Canis lupus familiaris: one gene and its partner. The protein of the gene in region 2 interacts with the protein of the main gene of each other region in a biochemical or structural test. Links are inferred from orthologs where the notes say so. Each region holds a gene or a part of one and is shown on either strand. Other genes may lie near its edges.

Evidence for each region.
Region 1: the proteins of NR4A3 (region 2) and SIX3 form a complex in vitro, tested with the Homo sapiens proteins (3 studies listed by BioGRID). The link is inferred for Canis lupus familiaris from reciprocal best matches to the Homo sapiens genes NR4A3 and SIX3.

Annotation. Positions count from the first base shown.
Region 1 is NC_049231.1:48,393,767-48,404,581, forward strand, and holds part of SIX3 (homeobox protein SIX3), read left to right. Parts: exon of another isoform or gene 1-810; intron 811-849; exon of another isoform or gene 850-911; intron 912-4,134; coding exon 4,135-4,960; intron 4,961-6,847; coding exon 6,848-7,007; coding exon of another isoform or gene 7,008-7,040; exon of another isoform or gene 7,041-7,059; intron 7,060-10,815. UniProt on the Homo sapiens protein: Transcriptional regulator which can act as both a transcriptional repressor and activator by binding a ATTA homeodomain core recognition sequence on these target genes.
Region 2 is NC_049232.1:57,138,315-57,149,229, reverse strand, and holds the start of NR4A3 (nuclear receptor subfamily 4 group A member 3), read right to left. Parts: upstream 4,882-10,915; 5' UTR 4,423-4,881; intron 2,867-4,422; exon of another isoform or gene 2,684-2,866; intron 2,627-2,683; exon of another isoform or gene 2,359-2,626; intron 1,148-2,358; 5' UTR 974-1,147; intron 69-973; 5' UTR 1-68. UniProt on the Homo sapiens protein: Transcriptional activator that binds to regulatory elements in promoter regions in a cell- and response element (target)-specific manner.

The DNA of each region.
Region 1 (10,815 bases), on a different chromosome or scaffold from region 2:
CTCGGATTGTAGCTTGCGGGGAGGCCCAAACCGCGGGCTGCCGGGCCAGCCCCCGCCCCCCGAAGTCCTGGGGGCCCCCCAGGACAAACTGGCCTCACGGAGCCGAGCAAGGCCGAGTGGGTGCAGCTGCTCCAACCGGGAGGCTTGCGGACCTCTTGGCTTTCCGGGTAACGGCAAGCAAGGACTGAGTCTCTCAGGCACCTCTCCGGGTGGAGTTGAGACTGCTGGGGTTGGGGCTGATTTTGTAAATCAACGCCCAGTAGGTCCTCGTAGGAGAAACACACTCTCCAGCTCAAGCGCCCTTTCTCCCCGCACCACCTGTACGCAGTCTTGCCAGTTAGTTGCCTGGCCCAGGATTAAAGCAGACGCGGTGGTGGCAATTTTGTGACCTCGGACTGTACGGGCTCCAAACCCCAGATCCGGAAGTCGGAGCGGCCAGGGGGGCCCCGCGGGCTGACCCGTTCCTCCCAAACTCCTCCACTCTCTGAGAGATCCAGGGTGCTGGCGCCCCCCCGCGCGCCACCCCTCCAGACGTCCCCCAGCTCAGCTCAGCCCTCTTCCCTCGCGCTACCCAGTGCTTCGGGCCCCCAGAGCGGCGGGCAAGGCGCCTGGGCCCCGGAGCCCGAGGTCCTTCTGCTCCGACGCCCCTCCCCAGCGCCCAGCGCCTGGGAATTGGGGAGAGGAAGCTCTGGGGCTCCGGAGCCCCCTCCCCCACTCGGCCCGCGCTCCTTGACCGGGACCCACGGAGCCTGCGCTCCCGGCTCCACCCGGAGCCAGTCCGGCCATCCGCACCCACCGAAGGCCGGCCGCCCCGCCTCCCCCTCCCGGCTCTCGGGACGCTCCACTTACGCGCTCCCGGCGGCGGGCGTCGTGCTTCGGGCCCGGAGCGGAGCGGAGAGGCGCCGGCGGCCGCGGGGCAGCGCGGCGGGCTCCGTGGGCGGCGCGGGGCTCGGTTGCGCGGGGCGTCTCTGACAGCCCGGGGCTGGCCGCCCGCCCCGCCGCTCCCGGCCCCGTCCCAGCGCACAACGCTGCGCGCCCCGCAGCCGCCCTCGGCCCGGCTTTGCACGCCCGAGTCGCCGGCGGGGTGCGGCGGGGTGCGGCGCGTCGGCAGGCGCCCCGGCCGGGGCTGGGGCCGGGGGTGTCGCCGAGCGGAGGCTCAGCCCCACCGGCCTCACTTCTCCCCGCGCGGCGACGGTTTTCAATTTCAGCACTTTCGGCGGAGCCCGCGGCACCTGCCCAGCCTCCCTCCGGGGTTGGCCCGGCGGCGAGCGGCGGGGAGAGGCCGGGTCGCCCCCACCCGGAGGCGGGGGTTGTGGGGACGGGGAGGGGACTGGCTGGGTTCACCCGCCCGCCCGGCGCCTGGGTCCTCGGCTCCAGGGGATGCAGTTTCGGGGGTCACGAGCTGCTTTCAAAAAGTTGAACACAATATTCGGAAACCCACCCGTAGGAATTCTACCCCCATACGCGGCACAATACCCACTCCCTCCCCTTTTTCATTCCTTCCTCCCCCGCTTCCTCCTCCTGCCCCTTCCCCCTCCCACCCCTCAGCCTATAATCCTTCCCCTGCGAGAGAAAGGGATCGGGAAGAAAAGATGAAGCGTCTGTTTTTGTGTCCCAACCTTAGGGCTCTTTCTGGGCCGGCTGTGCACGACCGCCCAGAGCTTCGAAGCTGAACGGAAAAGGACTCACGGTTGGGAGCAAGATACTTGGAGGGGAGAGATCACCCGAAGTGGGCCTTGGCGGGTCTTCCCTTTGAGCGAATATTTCCCTGCCTCCGTCACTGGGTTTAGGACCGGGGACCCTCGGCTTCCAGGGGTGACGCTGGGATGGGGGGCCCATGAGGCCCCCTGGCCCAGCCCAGAGCCTCTCTGCCAGAGTGGAGCATCCATCACAGCTTGCACTTCTCTGCCCAGGAGGCCTGGCTCTGCGGGAGTCAAGGCCTAAGCAGGGCCCGAGCTCGGGGTTTAGGGGTGGGACACTCACAGCCCCAGTCACGTTAGGTTTCCCATTTAAATTCTCTCAATCTCTTTCTCTCCTCCCTCATTGAGATCTCCAAAGTGGTGTGGACTCGGTGCCTCGCCCCCAGATCTGCATCGGAATGTAGAAAAGATCTTTTTTTTTTTTTTTTAAAAAGAGTTTTGAATTCCTCAATGATTTTTCTTCTGGAAAGGCAGCTTAGGATAATTATTTCAGCTTTATTGAGGGCAGATTAGTTGAAGTCTGGACGCTGCGTTTCAATACGCGTTGTACACGGGCCGACAATGTGGGCATTGTTGGCTACTGTGTGTGAACTCATTCAAAATATACACTTTTTAACACCAAACCGAGTCCTGTCTAAATATACACAGTGCTCAGGGGAAAGACGTCTCTGACCCCGACAAATCTGCGTAAATCACACTTCCATAGTTACAGAAGCCTCACAAAGGGAGGCCCCGCTAAAGATGCTGATTACATCTTCTTAAAAGCAACATACCTTAGAATAAATACCCATACCGGCCCTGGGTGGGGGGAGAGTAAGGGGGGGGGAGGGTTGCAGTGGCCAGAGGGAGGGAGGGAGGACTCTCTCTCTATTCTACGGGCCTTTGGCGGTCTGTTTTAGGCTTGTCACATTACTTTGCCTAGATAAATTAGTTTTATTATTTTTTTCTTTACAATATGAGCAAACACGTAATGTTCAGGCCTATCTGCTTCTTTGGAGAAGCCTCCATAAGTTTGAGTGTCCTTCTGGGGCTGGTAGGCAGATCCAGAGCTCTTTGGAGGAGTAGAAGTAGCGAACATGTCAGGGGGCTCCAAAGGGTTCCAGACTTGTCAGCTCCCAGGGGACACAGCTGAAGCCTAGGGGGGAAATAAAGAGGTGGCTTGCTTTTCAAGGTGAAAACAAGAAGTGTACTGTTATTTTAAAATACAGGGCAATAGTAGAAATCAAGACTTCTTGACCGGGGCAGAGTAAAGAGAAGCGGGTAGAAGCCAGTGCAGATGAAAGTGGGATAAATGTGGACAACGATTGAGGCCGAGAGAGACCAGAGCGGCTTCTGACACCCTGGGTCCTGGCCTCTCGCTCTCAGGCGTTAGCTACCCCTCGAAATTCGGGATCCCGGGAGCAGCAGACAGGGTCAGTGTGTGGTGGGCCCCATGATCTCATCTCTTCTTTCTTCCTCGCCACTATTAGTGCTCACATAGGCAGAAAGAGGCGGCCCGACGTGCACACCATGTGCAAACGGTGCCTGCTTGGCCGGCCCTCGGCCCTCGGCGTCTTCTTGAGGGCTGGCCTTCGGCCTTCATGCGGCGTGGGGAGCCTCTTACATCCCAACAAAATCCCCCCTTTAATTGCTCATCCCATTCAACAACTCTAGGTCCATGGCCTTTTGAATTTCTGGATCAACTTCTTTGGGGAAGAGGGAAAAAGGGAGCTCAGAGACATGGGGAGGGGAGAGAGAGAGAGAGCGAGAGCGAGAGAACGAGCGAGGGAGAGAGAGAGAGATAGATAAAGAGGGGGAAGTGGCGAGATTAAGAGTTGCAAAGATTAAAAAAAAAATCTCTTTCTCCCCCTTCTCCCTCTTTCCCTCCTCTCCCCCTCCCCCCTACTCTGGCTAAGTGGTAAAACCGTCCTTACGTTCTCGGTATTGATTGGCAGGGCTGACAGTGATTGGCAGCGGTTGCCGTGGCAACGCCACAACGACACGCCGCAGACCAATAGAAAAGCGAAACAAAATGTTTCAATGCTGCACTCACTGTGGATTTAGGGGAGATATTATGAGGCTGTTGTCATTAGGGCGATTGCTGTGGAATCGCTGAATCTTGACTCGGCGGTGGTTGGCTCTCGCTCTCCTCTTTCTCTCCCTCTCCCTCTCCCTCTCCCTCTCTCTGTCTCGGGTTCTCTCTCTGCGCGCGCGCACCGGGCCGCTCTCCTTCCTCCCTCTCTATGTGGCTGCGCGGGTGTGTGTGTGTGTGGATGTGTGTGGGGTGTGGGTGTCCCTTACGCCCTTCCTCCTCCCCCTCCTCCTCCTCCCGCTCCCCCCTCCTTTCCTTCTCCTCCTCCCCCCTCTCCTCTCCCTCCTCCTGGTCCTCATCGCCCCTCTCCTCCTCTTCCTCCCCTCTCTCTTCCTCTCCCTGAATTTTCTCCTCTCCTCTCAGGTCAGTCCATGGTATTCCGCTCCCCCCTAGACCTCTATTCCTCCCACTTCTTGTTGCCAAACTTCGCCGATCCTCATCACCGCTCCCTACTTCTGGCGAGTAGCGGCGGCGGGAACGGTGCGGGCGGCGGCGGCGGCGGCGGCGCGGGCGGCGGCGGCGGCGGCGGGAACTGTGCGGGAGGCGGCGGTGCTGGCGGAGCAGGCGGCGGCGGCGGCGGCGGCGGCGGCTCCAGGGCCCCCCCGGAAGAGTTGTCCATGTTCCAGCTGCCCACCCTCAACTTCTCGCCGGAGCAGGTGGCCAGCGTCTGCGAGACGCTGGAGGAGACGGGCGACATCGAGCGGCTGGGCCGCTTCCTCTGGTCGCTGCCCGTGGCCCCCGGGGCGTGCGAGGCCATCAACAAGCACGAGTCGATCCTGCGCGCGCGCGCCGTGGTCGCCTTCCACACGGGCAACTTCCGCGACCTCTACCACATTCTGGAGAACCACAAGTTCACCAAGGAGTCCCACGGCAAGCTGCAGGCCATGTGGCTCGAGGCGCACTACCAGGAGGCCGAGAAGCTGCGCGGCCGCCCGCTCGGCCCGGTGGACAAGTACCGCGTGCGCAAGAAGTTCCCGCTGCCGCGCACCATCTGGGACGGCGAGCAGAAGACGCATTGCTTCAAGGAGCGGACTCGGAGCCTGCTGCGGGAGTGGTACCTGCAGGACCCCTACCCCAACCCCAGCAAGAAACGCGAACTGGCGCAGGCCACCGGCCTCACCCCCACACAAGTAGGCAACTGGTTTAAGAACCGGAGGCAGCGCGACCGCGCCGCGGCGGCCAAGAACAGGTCAGTGGCGGGCCCGCGGCCTGGCTACCGTCTCCGGGGGGCCGCGGAGCGGGGGGAGCGGGGCTGAAACCGGGGCGGAGGGGGCGGAGGGGGCGGGGGGCCGGGGGCCGCCGGGCGCGCGAGCAGCCGCGACCCCCTGGCCAGTTGGAGAAAGTTTCCGCTGGCCCAGACGCGCAGAAGAGGGCCGGGCGGCGGGCTTATGGACTTCTTTGTCGGAGAGGGGCTTTCGGCAGGGTGGAGAGTGTGGGGGTGTGAGGTCCCGAGCGCCCGTCCACAGGCCCCCCCGGTCCCAGCCCCGGGAGCCTTGGCCCCGCGCTGCACCCGTGCCACCTCCGCAGCCCGTGCCCGGCTCCGCACTCCCCTGCAGCCTGCAGACAGGGAAGGGAGGAAAGCCGTCCTTGCCAACCGGTTCTTATTATTATGCATTGCAAAAACCCGGAGAGGAATCCACGAAGTCACGGAAAGGAAACTGAACAGTGGGGTCTCTGCCACAAAGGGAAAAAAAGAAAGGTCGCTGGCCACTGTGGAGCAGGCCTCTTTCCCTCAGTTTTGCCAATTGCCTGAGTGGGAGCAGGAAAACCAGGCGGGGAAGTAGAGAGGCCTTGTGTGTGTGTGTGTGTGTGTGTGTGTGTGTGTACACGAGCACACAGGTGCTAGCCCTCCTGCCCCAGTCAAGGAGCATCCCCTTGGTCCACTAACTTGGGAAGCCAGGAGGAGCAGGAGCAAACCCACTGCCAGCAAGTTGGCCACAAAATCATAAAGTTGTCTGGGCTTCACCAGTCAGCGCACTTGGGCCTGGGGGAAGGTAAGGAGAAAAAGAACTAAGAGGGAAAGAGGAGGAGGAAGGGGCGAAGAATGGGAGGGAAGGGGGAAGGAAGTGGGGTAGAAGCCCTGGTGAGAAGCCCGCGCCCCTACCTAGCCTGCGCAGGCGCTGGGCCTGGTGTACGGCAGGGAGCAGGGCCCCAGCTGCTGACAGCTGCCAGGGGCTGGAGGCCAGGGCTGAGTTCCTGGAGTGAGTGAGTGTGTTTGCGTTCAGGTGGCCCAGGCCTGAGCCCTAGGCCCTCTCACCCGTGCCCGCCGAGCCAGTTTTTCGTCTGAGAGGGGGAGTGCCCAGGACCAGGGCAAGGCCTCCTTGTGGGAACTCAGAGACTAGGCTCCGGCAGCAGCTGCCTGGTGCGGGGAAAGGGGAAGACGGAGACTGCTCTGCACACCCCCCTCCTGCCGCCTTCTCTCTCCTTTCTCTCTTGCACCTCTTCCCCACTTTTTCCGCTTCCGGCTTCTCCGTTCTCTCTAGCCCTGCTCCTGCGCTCAGCACAGGGAGCCAGAGAGCAAAGCCAGCGGGTCCTACTGGGGAGAGGCTGCGGGTGAGCAACCCACAGCTCTGGGTGTGTTGGGGGAGCTGGGGCGGGAGCCACTGTGGCCACCCGCCGCTGGGCCACCCGGTTCAGTCTGAAGAGTCCCCGGGGCGGGAGAGCAAGAAGCACCCTGTCCCTCTCGGACTTGGGCATCTTGGGGCTCCGAGTCCTGCGCTGTGCTCCCGGGGCCTCCCCAGGAGGCCGGCCTCGGGTCCTACCTCTCCTCGGAGGCCGGCTGCGAACTGGGAAGCCTTGGGGAGCCCCGAAGAGCCCCGGGAAGGAGAGAAGAGAGCCCAGACCCGCGCTGGGGGGGGGGCTTTGCGGCGTTCAACGAGTGGTGGGGTGCTTGGAGGCAGGGGAAGGGGGCGAGAAATGAGCGCAGGGAGCCGAGTCGGGGTGGTGGCGGAGGGCGCGCGGCTGGGGAGGCTGGGAGGCTGGGGAGCCCGGCGGCCGCGGGCGCGGGGAGGCGGCTTGACGAGCCCGGTGGCGGAGCCGCCGTGTCAGGGCTGGTGCGGCTCTCTGTCTCCCGCAGGCTCCAACACCAGGCCATCGGACCGAGCGGCATGCGTTCGCTGGCCGAGCCCGGCTGCCCCACGCACGGCTCGGCAGAGTCGCCGTCCACGGCGGCCAGCCCCACCACCAGCGTGTCCAGCCTGACGGAGCGCGCGGACACCGGCACCTCCATCCTCTCGGTAACCTCCAGCGACTCGGAATGTGATGTATGATAGCCAAGGCCGCCCTCCTCCCCCTCCCCCTCCTTCCCCTCCTCCTCCTCCTCCTCCTCCTCCTCCTCCTCCTCCTCCTCGCCCTCCTCCTCTTCCTCTTCTTCCTCCTCCATACCCAGAACAAACCGAAATCAGGATACACAATCATACACACACACACACACACACAAGTACACACACACACACACTTCCACCCCAGCCAAAAATATATAAAAAACCAAGAAAAATAACAAATTAAACGCAAACTATCAACAACCCCAACCACCATCTACCACCACGGCCACCCCAAAGGACCGCGACGCCAACAGACAGTTACAAACGCTGATGTTGCGGGCAGAAAACATAAAAGAGGTGACAATTGTATACTTTCTAGGACAAGCACGGCTTCTCCTTTCGGTTCCCACGGACCCGGCACCCCACCTGCATGACGATTTATTTGTATCTGGGAAAATATTCTCTCTAGTTTAAAACGATTTAAAAAAGAGTCGACTATACAAAAACCGACCACCACCACGACGACAAGACGACAAAAGCAAAACAGACAAAAAGAGAAAAAAAAAATAAAACCGCCATCTCCGTTCAGAATTTGTTAAAAAAAAAAAAAAAAAGAACTCCTCGAGAGGGAAATAGCAAATGTTTCTCGCCTTTTGTTGCTCGCTCTCTCTTTTTTCCTCTCTCGCTCTCTTTCTTTCTCTGTTTTTAAGTCCAAGTATTGGTCAAACAAGATGCAATCTTCTGTTTTTTGTTCAGCAGACAATCATTTTCTTCGTAAGCACCTTTTTCTCTCCACTCTGTCACTGCCTGTGTGGGTACTGGTTATAAATGTGGAAAAAGAATAGTTATGACTGTAACAGATTTTTATTTTTATTTCAAAATTTTATATGAATTATGTATATCTTAATGATCGGTCATTTTCCCAGTTTGTAATATATGTGTAGAAATTGCCTGTATATGATATTGCTTTTTCTCCTCTTCCTTTTTCATTCTCTTCCCCCCCACCCCCTGCCTCCCTCCCCGCTCACCTGTCTCTTTCCTTTTTGGGGTTCCCCTCCCACTCGGTGTTCCTGGCGTCGACTTGGCAGTCAAGGCGTGGCGTGGCGGGCTGGGTTAGGACGAGGGACCCCGTCGCTAGCGGAAGCGGAGAGTGAGTCCGTAGTATTCTTATGCAAAAGCTATTTCAAGTATTTCTTAGCTGCTTTGGAGATATCTCTCACTCCCCGTAGGGCGCTTTTACTGTTATCTTAACTGCGTGTTTATCTATATGTAAAAACTTTCTAAAGCAAATACAGTATTCTCCATTTTCTTATCACTCCCCGAGACTGGTATTTTTGTTCGAGCAGCGCCCGGCCTTCACTTCCACTCCGACTCCCTGCGCCACTCGAGCTGGGGCAGCATTTTAAGGCTGGGTAGGAGCTTTTCCTTGGAGATGGTGGGGGTGTGGGTGGCGGGGGAGAGATGGGAACAGGCCCTCCGGAGGAGAACCGGAGCCAAATCTGGAACGAAAGGCTCCGAGGGCGCAGAGGGGAGGGGGGCTCCCGCCGGTTTCTTCAGAAGGAGATGCCAGGCCGAGATCCGCATGAATTCTAGCCTGCTGCGGCCCTGTGGGTCTTTGGGGGGGTGTGTTTGGCATCTTCTGGTTGTTGTTGTTGGATTTTGTGTGTGTGTGTTTTTAAGGGTAAACACACAAGGTCATCAAACCAACAATCCACCTATCCAGAGCAGAGTTGACAGGTTTTGTCTTCTTTTTGCCCAAGTGGAGTTGGGGGCAACCATAGTGGCCAGGGTAGGGAGGGTAGAGAGAGCGAAGAAAGAGGTAGTGCAAGGAGTTTAGGGCCTACAGCTGGGGCGGGCTTTCTCCTCACCACTCCTGCTTTGGGTCTGTGTGACTGTATTACTTGCCTTACGGATCTTGATCCTTGAGGATCAAAAATCCTTGAAATTTCTTCCCGTCTTTTGGGGATCAACTGGAGTCTCTTCCAGCTCCTAAGACATTTTCAGGGCTGATTTACACTTTAAAATGAAAACCAAAAAAAAAAAAAAAAAAAAAAAACACCACAGCCTTTGGCTAACCAGGTTCCCACTAGCCCCAGGCCTCCCTGCCCTGCCGGCGGGGCCCCCACATTTCCCCCTGATGGAGTGGCTGACCGCGCCCCTGCCGCTCTGGGCCAGGCCAGCCTGAGCCGGAGGAGCCAAAGAGGTAATTTCAGAAAACTTGCCTTCACTTGAAAAGTCCAATTTCCAAAGGGAGGAGGATTAGGGAGAAACGTGCATGGAATTTCGCGCTGGTTCCAAACTAATTTTGACTTCCGATTTCCTTTTGTCCCCATCTCCAGTCTCTCCGTGAGGTTTACACAGGGCCTGGCCAGGCAGAAATGCCGCCAGGCCCAGAGGTGCCCTGTGCATTCAAGTGGGGCCTGGTGTACCCAGGGTGAGCTTGCCTGGAGGGGAAGGTTTCTGTGTGCGTCCTTACTTAGATCCAGGGCATTCAGATGACCTGAGAGCTTCCAAGTTCTGAGGCCTGGCACACTGCGTCAGAATCTCTGCATGCATTCTCTGCCTTGGAAAACATTCCTGGTGATGCCACGTTTCAGGCAACATTGACCCAGGTGGCAGGAATTTGGGAAGGGGCTGCTGGCTTCTCCCCAGATCGAGCCAATGTTCTGGTGCATAGAATGCCTTGGATGCCAGGCTCTGTCCTCTTACCTGCACTTTAAAATGTATGGTTCATACTTGCCCCAGAACTTGGGCCTGCAATCCAAAGGGGCCCAAGGGGCTGGAGGGGCTGCCTCAGACAGTGTAAAGATTCTGGATGGACCCTACCCAACCGGCTACCTAGAATTGATGGGTGGAAGGACAGGGGTGGCACTGCTGGAGAGTGACTGTTGGGAGGTCTTTGATTGGTAAACTAGGGAGCAGATACCTTTCTGTCCTGGGACAGAGGACAAATTTGTGAAGTTGAAATGCCTCCTTGTCTCAACATACCAGAGAAAGAAAGCAAGTTTGTAGTATCCAGTACCCTTTCCTCTCGCTCCACTTCAGAAAACAGGCTATCAGACACCACAGCAACCTTCAGCGTTGGGGGGCCTAGGTTCAGTTGGGTGGCCACCAGCCTGCTACCTGTCTGTCTTGCTATCTATCATCCATCACTCTCCCTCATCCCCTATGTTTCTACTCAGGTCTGTGCAAATACCAATACTCTATACTCTGCACTTTCTGACCTTCCCTACAGATTCCCTGCAGGAGAAGTATGAGTGCTTGTGGTGAGTGGTGTAGATGTTTGCAATTCCAAATGCTGGGCTTCCACATGTGATCAAGGTCTACATATAAAGGTGTGTGTGTGTGTGTGTGCATGTGCGTGTGATGTTTGTTATACATGTGTGTATAGTGCATCGATGTGTGTCCAGTATGTGTTTTCTTTTATATTGCCTGTAAGGCAATTATTTGCATGTAGCTTGGGCAGTTTATATTTACCTAGTTCGTCAAGAGGCGGCTCTGGTACTATAGGGTGCTGTGTGTACAGGGCCTTTCTGTGCAGTGGACACATGTTTTGTGGATGTCCATTTGGGTGGATTCCCTTGTTCTACTCAACCCAACGATATGACTCCCAGGCTACCCAGCCATCACTGACCTTCCTCTTTCTGCCTTTAAGGAATGGGGGCAAGGGGATCACAATCTGTATTCTTTGACCAGAGGGCAGACTGGAGTTGGGCTCTTTGGCTTCTCCAGTCTGCCTTTTACCCTGATCAATACGGATATTACATTGGATTTGGCCCCC
Region 2 (10,915 bases):
ATTTCCAAATCTGATTGAGTCATGCGTGTATGGGATGAAATCTTGACTTGAAAAAAGGTGATGAGGGCCTGTTGGAAGAAGCAGTGATAAGGAGAGGCCAGTTCAAGCCTTCACTTTCCAAGAAGGGCCTTAAAAACACTAGTTTGAAGGTCAAGGATTAGTTATCCTGCTGTCCTGTTGTTGGGGTGAAATGAAAGGCTAAATATTTAAAAGAAAGAACACGGCCCAGCCCAATGTTCCATCTATTCTCCTTCCTTCAGCCCCTCTAGGATTTCTCCATCAGTCTTCTGTCATCTTTCCTTGCCAATCCCTATGTATTACTCTTCCTTGTGTCTTTCTTAGGTTTCCAGCTAGAATATGAGTTTGCTTGGTACTAAGTTCTATTTAGATGCATATCTTTGGCGACTACACAGTCCAGGCACTTGGTATCTGTTTAAGAAATGCATAAAGAGGTGTTACAAGCCAAACCTGCAATCCTCTCTTTTTGCCCAACTCGAATTTACTCCTTGGTTTTCAGCTTAAATGCTTTTTCTCTTTTCCTCTGAGCTTCAACAATCCAAACTTCTGCATCAAATGATTTAGGTTCTATACAAACATAAATGCCCTGTATTGCTCAAAGCGATCCCATAACTTTTACATTTATGAACTGGATATAAAAGGAGAGCAAAAATGAAGACATTAAAATGTATAGAAAGATCCTAATCTCTTGGCGTATTACATTTTTTTTCTTAGGAAACCTATTTTTGAGAAATGCAACGCGTAATTTAATCTGGCTGCTCCACTAGGTAGCAACAGGGTGTGGTATCCAGAGGAGCTTCGTGCAAAGAAGCCACCTGTGCTGTGAAATACGTGGCCAGCAGTCACTGTCCTGGCCCTGCGCAAGTTGAACAGCCTGCCTGCTGGGTGCGTGGCTCCCCCCAACCCCCACCTCTCCCAACCTGGAAGGAATAAGGGGTCGCGCCTTTAGACCTACCTGGAGGATATCTTGCGCGCTGAATGGTGGGGCTGTGGGTCTCTCCAGCGGAGGCTGAGAGGGTAGGAGGCGGAGACGTCCGGCGAGGGGAAGCGGTGGCAGTGCTGCCTGGCTCCGCGGAGGGTCCAGGCTCAGGGCTAGGGCTTGCCGGACTGCGCTCTTCCGCAGTAGGCTCTGCGGGCACCGGGAGAGAGGACAGAGCTCAAAGTGAGACCAGGCTGGTGGTCGTCGTGGCCTGGGCTGGGCGTATCAGGAGAGGGTGGTTTGGTAGGGGGTCTCTATGAATGCTACGTTGATTACAAAGAATTAAAAGGGTAAGGAAGCAGTTCTTAAGGTGAACGGAGTCCCTGGGCAGAAGCGACCAGCCGCCTTGGGGGGAGCCACAGAAAGGTTGTCAGGCACCCACTGCGCTCACCACCGTTTTGTGGCACCCAAACCTAGGCTAAAAATACGTGCATCCTGTCATCGCCCAGCAATTGATCTCTCTGTCCCCACAATTGGCTCTGAGCTCGCTAAGTCAGGAAAACCACAGAAGGGGCACCTGAGGAAGAGTTTCGACGGAATTCGTGTGGTCAGTGAGGGCGCATTTTCCAACTCCACTGCCCGTCCCCCCTCCTCCCCAAATACAGAATTTACACGTTGCATAGGAAATGCACCAGGTCCGGAACGAATGTGTGAATGCCCCGAGGAATTAAGAAAGTCTGCGCTTTTCATTCTAAATGCTAATGGAGCTTCGCTTCTATTAGCCGCGAGTTTCGGGGGCCAGGGGTCAAGCAAACAAAAGGGCACAGTAGAAATAGGCCGGCGCTGGAGACAAGGGGACAAGGCAGTTGGAGTTCCAGGCTGGTAGGGTGGGCGGAGGGAGGCCCCTTGCACCCAGCAGGAGGTATCCCTGAGGGTGGGCGACTTCGAGGCTCGGGGCCATCCCGCGGCCCCGAGGGGGCACATTCCGGAGGGCGCCGAGCGCGGCTCCGGGGCGAGCGTCTCCGCGCCCAGGCTCAGCGAAACTTTGTAGCTGGAAGCGCAGCTCGGCGGGCCTCGGGGGAAAGGATCCGCTGCCCCAAACTCTGGCCTACAGCGCCCTCTTTGCCTGGACCCGTTCATATCTTGAGGCTTGGGAACATGAAACCGAAAAAAAAAAACAAAAACAAAACAAAACACAAAACCAACCCAAAAAACAAAACACAACCCCCCAAAATCGCGGGGGTGCGCGGGCCGAGAGGGGCGTGTAAGTTTCGTCCCCCTCCGCCCCTGCGCCAGGGGCTTGCCCGAAGGAAGAGAGGGAGGGGACATCGGAACCCCCAGGTCCGGTAAGCCCTCGAAAGCCAGGAAACGGGGGATTCCCTTGTCACCCCCAGCCCCTGCCCTGCCCCAGATGATCCTACGGAAATCTTGCGCTCGCTGTAGCGCAAGCACGCGCGGATCTTCCCACGGCTGTGGCAGGAGCTTCCCGTCCGCCCCGAATTTTCAATACAGGTCTCCAGCACCCTGCCACCACCTCCTGCAGTAGGTGCCCTCACTCCTGCCCTCCCCTGGGTCCTTTCTCCGAGGTTCGGCCTCTGACTCCGCCGGGTGAGGGTTGAGTCTCCTCTAGGAAAGGGCTCCCCTCGAGCGCCGGGTGTTCGCGGGAAAGAGCCACACCACGTTTCCTACAGCCGAGCCAAGAGCCCCACGCCCCCCCCCCCCCCGCCCACTCCCATGGCCGGTTACCTAGGCAAAGCCTCCGCGCCTGGAAACACGTTCCGCCGCTCCCGCTCGCGGCCGCCGGGGCCGGAGCACCGAGCCTTGGGGTTGTAAATTAGGTAGAAATAACCACCTCTGTCAAAGCTCCTTTCTTTCTCGTGGGCAGACGAAAGGAACACCCCCATGTTCCCCTCCCCGTGGTGAAGTGTGTGGAGGAAACCGTGAAACGCACCATTGTGACCGGGGCTCCTCCGCGGAGTTTCCAACCCTGGGGAGCGGGGGCGGAGGTTGGGCGGGGGCCGTAGGAGTGAAGGAGAGACCGACAGAAAGGGAAAGACAGAGATTCTCAGAAAGACCGAGGGAGAGGAGACAAACCGCGGGGGAGAATTTCTGCGAGCGCGCGCGGTCGCGGGGAAGGGAGTGGGTGGGTGCGGGGGGTGGGGGCTGGGGAGGGAGCCGGCGTGGAGGTGGCTTGGCCCGAGGAGGAGTCTTTGATATTCACGCTAGGAGCACCTCGCACAGGTAAGATAAGTCAAGGGAACTCTGACTTCATTCATTGTGCCCGGTAGCCGCGTTGGGCAGCTTTTTGCTTCCCCAACTCAGTTCTGTAAAATATTTCTCCATCGTGGGAATAGAAGATCCAGGACGGATTTGCCCTTTACCTCTGTCTCCTGGCACCCTAAGGCTCTGGGATGACAGCCCGACATTTCTGATTACCAAACTCCTTGCCGCTCTTCCCTCTCACGAATCCGAAGGCATTAAATAAAAGGCAATCTCCAGGAACGTCCTTTAGAATCAAGGGACAAACGCTTTCTCTCTTAGTCCTGACCCAAGCTTCCAACCGGCTCGGGAGGTGCCTTTGGAAGTCATTGTCCGCAGGCTGCGCTCTCATAACCGCTCTCCCCGCAGCACTGAGAACTTTCATTTATTCTTATTAAGAGTAAAACACTCGGAGCAACTTCTCCAAAAGCGCGAGTTCCGTCACTTAAGAGTAAAACATTCCCACACCAAGCCAAGGCCCGAAGGAAAGGAACACGATCCCCACGCGTGGCCGGGCTCGGGAGTCAGCAATTACAGCCTATTACCTCTGAAGGGAAAAGTGCACACGGGCAAGTAGGCTACGCCAGGCAGACGTGCCTAGTGGAGCCCCAGGCTCATTTCAATACAATAAAGCCACATTCCTACAATTACGCCCTCTTTCCAGAGATCATCCGAGCGCCTTTGCAAACTCCAACCACCGCTGCCCAGGCCCCTTCCCTCTCCAGCTTCCCCCGAGTCAACCGGCTGGGAGTCACCATTAGGTATATTAACTTGGACCCACCGGAGCCCCTGTTTTCAATCCTAGTTAAAAGGCAGGAAAATTACTGCCGTTCATCAGCGGAGCTGCAACTCCCTGCCGCCGCCGCCGCCGCCGCCGCCGCCGCCGAGAGCATCATTACCATGACAACTAGAGCCGAAATACCCTGAATTACATCGCTGGAGCTGCTACTGAACAAATCCCGGTCCTCCTCTTTGTTAGAGGCTTTTCGCCTCTTCGGGTTGGGGGAGGAATCCCACGAGCTCCAGAGGTCCCCGCGGGCCCGCTACAGGGGAAAAGTTTCAGATCAGAACCCCCCGGGCCGCTCGGCGAGCGAAGCCGGAGCGAGGAGGCGAGGGGGAAAAAAAAAAAAAACCCACACTCAAAGTTGTCAATTCAGGAGCGACGCTTCCCAGCGCGCCAACTTTTTAGCAAGTCCCCCAATTCACTGGGCGAATCTCATACGTACTTGAGTGCTGTGGCGGTTCCGTCTTTAGAGCGAGTTTCTAGAGAGCTGCCCCGAAATCTGCACTGGGGGGGGAGTCACAGCTGCTGTCCCGGAAGGGCTGCCGTGAACCAGCCCAGCGGCTCCCAGAGGCGGTGAGCGTCTGGCAGGGGATGCTGCGATCCCGACTCATGGGAGAGTGCCGGCGAGGGGTTCCGCGGGCGTCCTGGCTGCGGCCACGGCCCGGGGGCAGGATGCCGCCGCAGTTCCCACCTCCGAGGCCGCCGCCGGCGCTGTCAGCGTTGCAAAGTGAGTCCGGGAGGGGCGTCCGGCTGCCGCGCGGCTCTGCACCGGCAAGGGCGCAGGGCGAGAGGGGTGTGAGCGCGCGGGAGAGAGTGGAGTGTGTGTGCGGAGCTTGTGTGCGCGCGTGTCTGTGTGTGCGAGTGAGGGAGCGGGTGTGAGCCTGTCTGTGTGTGGGGAGCGGAGGAGGAGCAGGAGCTGGAGGGGTGGGGGGCGGGAGGCAGGAGACTCCGCTCTCCCGGCTGCGCGTTCGCTCGCTCTCTCGGCACGTCATTTATGCCACAGGAGCCCTAGCGGCCTCTCCATAGAGTGCCTGGAATGCGAGACGTCAATGTGACGCCATGGGACGCTACGTCACCCTCCCCCTCCCTCCCCTGGCCCAGCCGGTTCCGCGTGTGCGAGGGAGGGTGTGTGTGTGTGTGTGTGTGCGTGTGTGTGTGCATGTGTGTGCGCGCGCGCGTTCCCGGACCATTCTCCGGGCTGCACAATGGAAACTGCGCCGCGCGGCCAAGCCCGGCAGGGGGGCCTTTGGGAGCCGAGCCGCCAACCCCTCTGCAGCGGCGCTGCTCGCCAGGGCGCGAGTCTGCCGGAGGGTGCAGCGGCCCGCCGGCGGGTCAGGCGGGACCGCCCAGCTGTCAGGCTCGGGTGGAGTAGTGTTGGAGGAGTGCGGCTGGCGCGCCTCCGAGGCTGCCCCGAGGCACGGAGCCAGGGAGAGGGGGTAAGGGAGAGGACAGCTCTTCCGAAAGGGAAGGCTCCGCCAGCCAGCTTCTCCGAGTGACCTGGCAGCCGGTGCAGGAGTCAGGCACCGGCCCGAAGACTCTCCGAGGTGCATGCAGCTGCGCTTTCCTCAAGCAACAGTTCCAAGGCTGTTTAAGTCTCGCTGGCCCGCAGCGTCTAGGCTAATCCAGCTCCTCCTCGCATCATTTGCTGAGTGCGTGTTTCGCACAGGGATGCAGATGCCTCCGGGAAGATAAGGTTTTATTTCTTTATGCTAAGGTGTGGATTTCCTAACTGGACCCACAATAAGCCAACTGAGTGCACATCCATCATCCACGTGCGCGCTGCCGCAGAAACTACTTAATGTGTGTAAAACAAACACACACGTGTTGAACAGCTGACCGGGTCTGACTGTTGCAAATCATTCCCCCCACCCCCACCCCGCAGAAATGGAAATCTCAGCTCGCACTTTCACTTTTTCATGGTTGCCCCCCCCTCCAATCTCCCAAATTAAACATTTCGAAATCAATCAACAGGATTTATTAGTCAGTTCCTCGCCATGGGATTTGCTCTCTTCTACTGGGACACATTTGTCATGAAATGGTGTGCTGAAAGCTTGGGCGACTGTGTGAAGGAGAGCAATTTCTTCCTGGAAATGATGAATTTAAGTGTGAATTTCTTGCTGCAAACAGAAACAAAAATTTATCAAAGTTAAAGTCTGTCTCTTAGTTCCAAAGTGCAGCTGAGTGAAAAGCAACCTCTCTCAGATATGAATTCTTAAGGGGGATAAAATAGTTGAGTGCAACGTCGCAGACAGGCATGGTCTCCATGCGGTCCGCTTAAATCACACGTGATATTCTATTTCTTTGACACGTCCCAGTGTTTGCATGTGTGTGTGTGTGTGTGTGTGTTTTGCAGTGGGGGGTGGGTGGGAGAGGATCCTATTGTCGACAGCATGCGGTTCAGAATGGAAGAAGGTTCGAGTTATTAGCACCAGAAACTTGAAAACAAAACTAATTTTATTTCTATATACGACACGGATATATTTCTTCGACTCCCACTTCCACTTCAGGCAGGGTGGTGTGGAGAGAAGACCGTGGGAGGGAGGATGCTGAGAGAGCTGACCCCGCGGAGGGGAGCCGAGCCCGTGCACCGCCGCGGGTTCCAATCCAGTCTCGGAAGGAAGGAGGGCGCTGCTACATTGTATCCATTCAAAGGCTGGTGGTGGCGGGGGGGGGGGGGGGGGGGGTGGGGGGGTGGAGGGGAGCAGGACCTGGAGCCGCGCGGCGCTGACGCACAGGAGGCGCGTGATTGACGCAGGCGATGTTACTAAATTGGGCGGTTGGCCGGGCCTCGCCGCCGGCGCGCGCCGCAGATAGCGGAGTAGGTTCCCCTCGGTCACCCCCGCCCCTTTCTCCATTCAGTGCTGCGCGGGGCGGGGCGGAGCGCAGGGGGCGGGGCGCGGCGCGGGGGGCGGGGCGCGGCGCGGGGGCGGGGCCGAGTGCGCGCGGCCGCGCCGGGATCCGGCCGAACCAAATATAGTGGAGCCCGGGTATTTTTAGCCGGGCCCCGGGCGCGAGCGCGCCGCGTGAGGGGGCGCCCTGACCCCGCCGGGGGTGCGGAGGGGGCGGGGGCGGGGGCGGAGTCGCCATCTTGGACCCGGCTCGACCCCGTCTGGTGACCGGCGGCGCTGGGCCAGGCTCCGCGCAGGGGGTCGGGGTGAGTGGGTGAGAGCCTCGGGAGCGAGGGGGCGCGGGCCGGGCCGGGCCGGGCCGGGCGCAGAGGGCGAGGCGCGGGCGCGGCGGCGGGGTGCGCGGCCCGCGGGGTGCGCGCGCAGGTGCCGGCCGGCCGCGGCCGCCGCCGCCGCCGCCGCCGCCGCCGCCGCCGCCGCCGCCGCCGCCGCCGCCGCCGCCGCCGCCTGCCAGCTCGCGGGGCAGCCCTGGCGCGCGGCGGCCCGGCCAGCCCGAGTCGCGTGGGGGCGGAGCCGCCCGCGGCCACCGCTTCCTGAGAGCCGGGGATACCCCTCCCGGACGTCACGGAGGAGCCGAGGCGGCGGTGGCGGCCCGGGGCTCATCCTGCACTTGCATCACGGGTGCAGCAGCAGCTGCTCTGCTCCTTTGTGGCTTTTTCCCCTGTTGAGTAACTGCTTTGTTAACTGAAAATACCATGACGGGCCAGTGTGATCACCAGCTCGAGACCTCAAAGAAAGTGAAGCTGTCAGGCAAGGAGAGGGAGACTCCCCTACCCGGCTGCGATGGTATCTGGTGGGTGGGTGGGTGTGTGTGTGTAGAGAAGCACTTGACAGTTTCCACGTATTGCTTCTTGTCTAATTCTTCACCCCTTAGAAGGTTTAAAAATACTTTTTATTTCCATGCTGTAAAAATTTCATGGGCTCTGCACCCCTCCCGGTACCTCTTCAGTTTGAAATCTCACGCAGAACTGGAATCACTGTGAAGCAGGAACCCTAAAATTAGGTACAGTTTGTAGGAAACAGGATATCTTTTGATGGATTTATTGAATAAACTCCATTTTCCAAACGTTATATATATAAAAAGGTCCCTTGCCCACTCAAGGTAGTTGTGAAGCAGCTACCAAGTGTTTTCATACGAATTAGGCTCCTCCAGTGACGGTTTTAAACCTTTATCCTTGTTTAACTTTAAAAAAGAAAAAAAGAAAAATCCATCCCTGGCCAAATATCTCCAGGTATAAGCATTTCTTTATTTGAGTGGGTGAGTCTTTCAGGACATCTCTATTGGTTGATTCTGTGCTTTTCCCCCACCCCTCGCCTCGTTTGCATCCTTTCCTTCCTGAGTATCGGGTCGCCAATCTTTGTTCCTTGACTGCTGCTGGGCTGAGGGCTGTTGTCTGATTGCCCTGAGCCAATCAGCTGGCTTAGTGCTCCTCTGGGTAGGAAGCTGGACTGCCTGTTGGAGAGGTTCCAGTGGTCACTGATAAGTGGCAACATTTTTGCACTCAAATGGAGAGTCATGGAAGCAGAGACAAGGCTCTCTTGCAAACTGGGACACCATCCTCTCCTTAATCCTGGGTCCCTAAACCTGTGCAATTCTTGAAACAAAATGAATTCTTCTCTTCTTTCTTCTCTTTTTTTTTTTTTTTTTTTAGTTACCATCTATTGTTCTGTACCTTTTCATAAGTTTGATCTACTGGGGATCACACATTAATATTCTGTAAGGCATATGTAATAGGACTTTCAGCAATCTAAGTTACCTTTCCGATGACTATTTTGTATTAAATGAAACTTAATACTTTATAATGAGAGCTCTTCTTTTGGGAAATCAAACAGAATAAGACGACCTTAATCTATGAAATGTTGAAAACTTACCTGGTTTGGTCTTTTTTCTAGAAGAGGGGCATTCACATGTGGCCTAGTTTACACACACAAAGCAAAGAAAGCAGTTAGTTTCTGTTTTCATGATACTTATGGCAGCCAATCTGTTAAAAACTCTATGAAGTAACTATTACAGATTCACTGGATAATAAATAACCTTTCATTTTGTTTCGGTTTCCTAGGTGTAGTCTGCAAGAAAAGAAAAAGTGCTCTTTCTCTTGGAAAATAAAATATGAAATTTGAGGGAAGTTTATTGTGTGTGATAGAAAACAATTGCTTTAACAAAATGGGATTTAAAAAATTGCTTTAAATGCTCTTCTGATTAAGCAATAATATATAATGTTGTTGATCTTGCTAATACACAAAGAATGAGGATGAGTCTTACTAATGCAAAGATTGGGCAGGGAAAGGTGAAATAAAAATTCCAAGCCAGAAGTTGTTACCTAAGGTGAAAATAGGAAGGAAAAATGAAAGAATTGTGTAAGTCCAAGTCTCTAGAATCACTGTAGAAGTTCTATGTTATGTATACATGTATGTACATATATAATATAAATATAATGTATAATATAAATATATATTTAAACACATAAGTATATATAAATAAATATATACATGAAGTTTGGTAACTGCAAGCTGACATTGACTTACAAACTTAAGTGTTCTGGGCTCAGGAACATGGGACTACTGTAGTACTATGTCTAATCTGCCTGCATACCATGTCTTTCCTATCAAGTCTGTCATTGCTCAGAAGTCTTCAGCAGCTGGATATTGTCTTCAAAGTAAAACCCCAAGCTCTTCACATCTTGGCTTCTTTATTTCCACAGAATTTCCCTGTTTTATGGTATCTTTACTGTTCTTCAAACATCTTTTCACCCTCTCACGTTTGTTCATGGTTTTCCTTTGTATGGCATTCCCGTCTTTCCTTTTCCCCTGCTTATTGAAATCTTATCTTTTCTGTAAAACTGGCTCAAGAAATGAACTCAGATTATGCTTTATTTAGTCTTCTATAGAGTTCTTATTTTTACTGCTTTCCTTTTGTGCTTTTGTGTCCATAGTTTATTCCCCTGTCAAGCTATAAGCTCAGAAACATGCTTCATACGTCTTTGAAATTTCTGTGGCACCTAAGTTTAACATAGATAATATATCTCCAAAAAATATTTCCCCCTTATAAATTTGAATATAATAGAGAGCAACCATAATATAGGTAACAAATTATATGGATTAGGAGATTCTTGGCGTGAATGGATATAAATGAGATCATATGTTAGTTGTTTTTTTTTTTTTAACCTCAACTTTTGACTTGTCCTGATTGAAGATACCTTTTCAAGGTGCCTGCTACAAGCCCAGACAGTTAGTTGCATGGTGATAAAAGGAAACTACAGTTTAGCTTGTACCTGTTATATCTGTGTAGGAAGATTTGCTATGAATTTTTTTTTCCTGCTAGACTTTGGTTTGATTCTTATTCTACCCTTTCTATTCTTCTGTTTGCCCTTTATCTTATACTGCTTTTTCTCAGTGATGAACTGGATGTTCTAGGCTAGGAAATGTAATGTCGTCTTTCGGAAAAATTTCTTAAAGTTTAGAAAATTGAGAACTCTTAACATCTGTGTAAAAAAAAATCTGTGTATAATGTTAAATATAAAAATTTGTTAATTTCCTACCTCTTCAAAAATATATTTAACTAGATTTGTGTGTCATCATATATATGCAGAAGTAAATTAGACAAAGAGATTTTGGAATCATATTTGTTGGAAGTTTTAGAGAGAGGCCTGTGTGACTTAGAATATTAAAATTTAAAAGGAAAAAGTAATATAATAGATCAGGGAAGACTTTCTAAGTTATGGAAGATTTTAGAAAGAGTAAAAACTGAGGAAGATTATTTAATAGTATAAGTGCTGATAATATTTTAAAATATCATTGACTTTTTTTTTTGCCTGTTAGTTAACAACAGACTTGCAGTGAGTTTTAAAAGAGTGTTTACTTCTTAGTCATGTTAGCCCCCAGTTGCTGGTAAACTCTGAAAGACCACAGTGTTTTGGGGGAGAAAAGTTACTACTCCTGTGTGATCAATCACTTCAGGATATCATGTATACCTATAAAATAAGATCTTCATTTTAGCTAGAAATGATAGATGAAGTTAATATTTCTTTC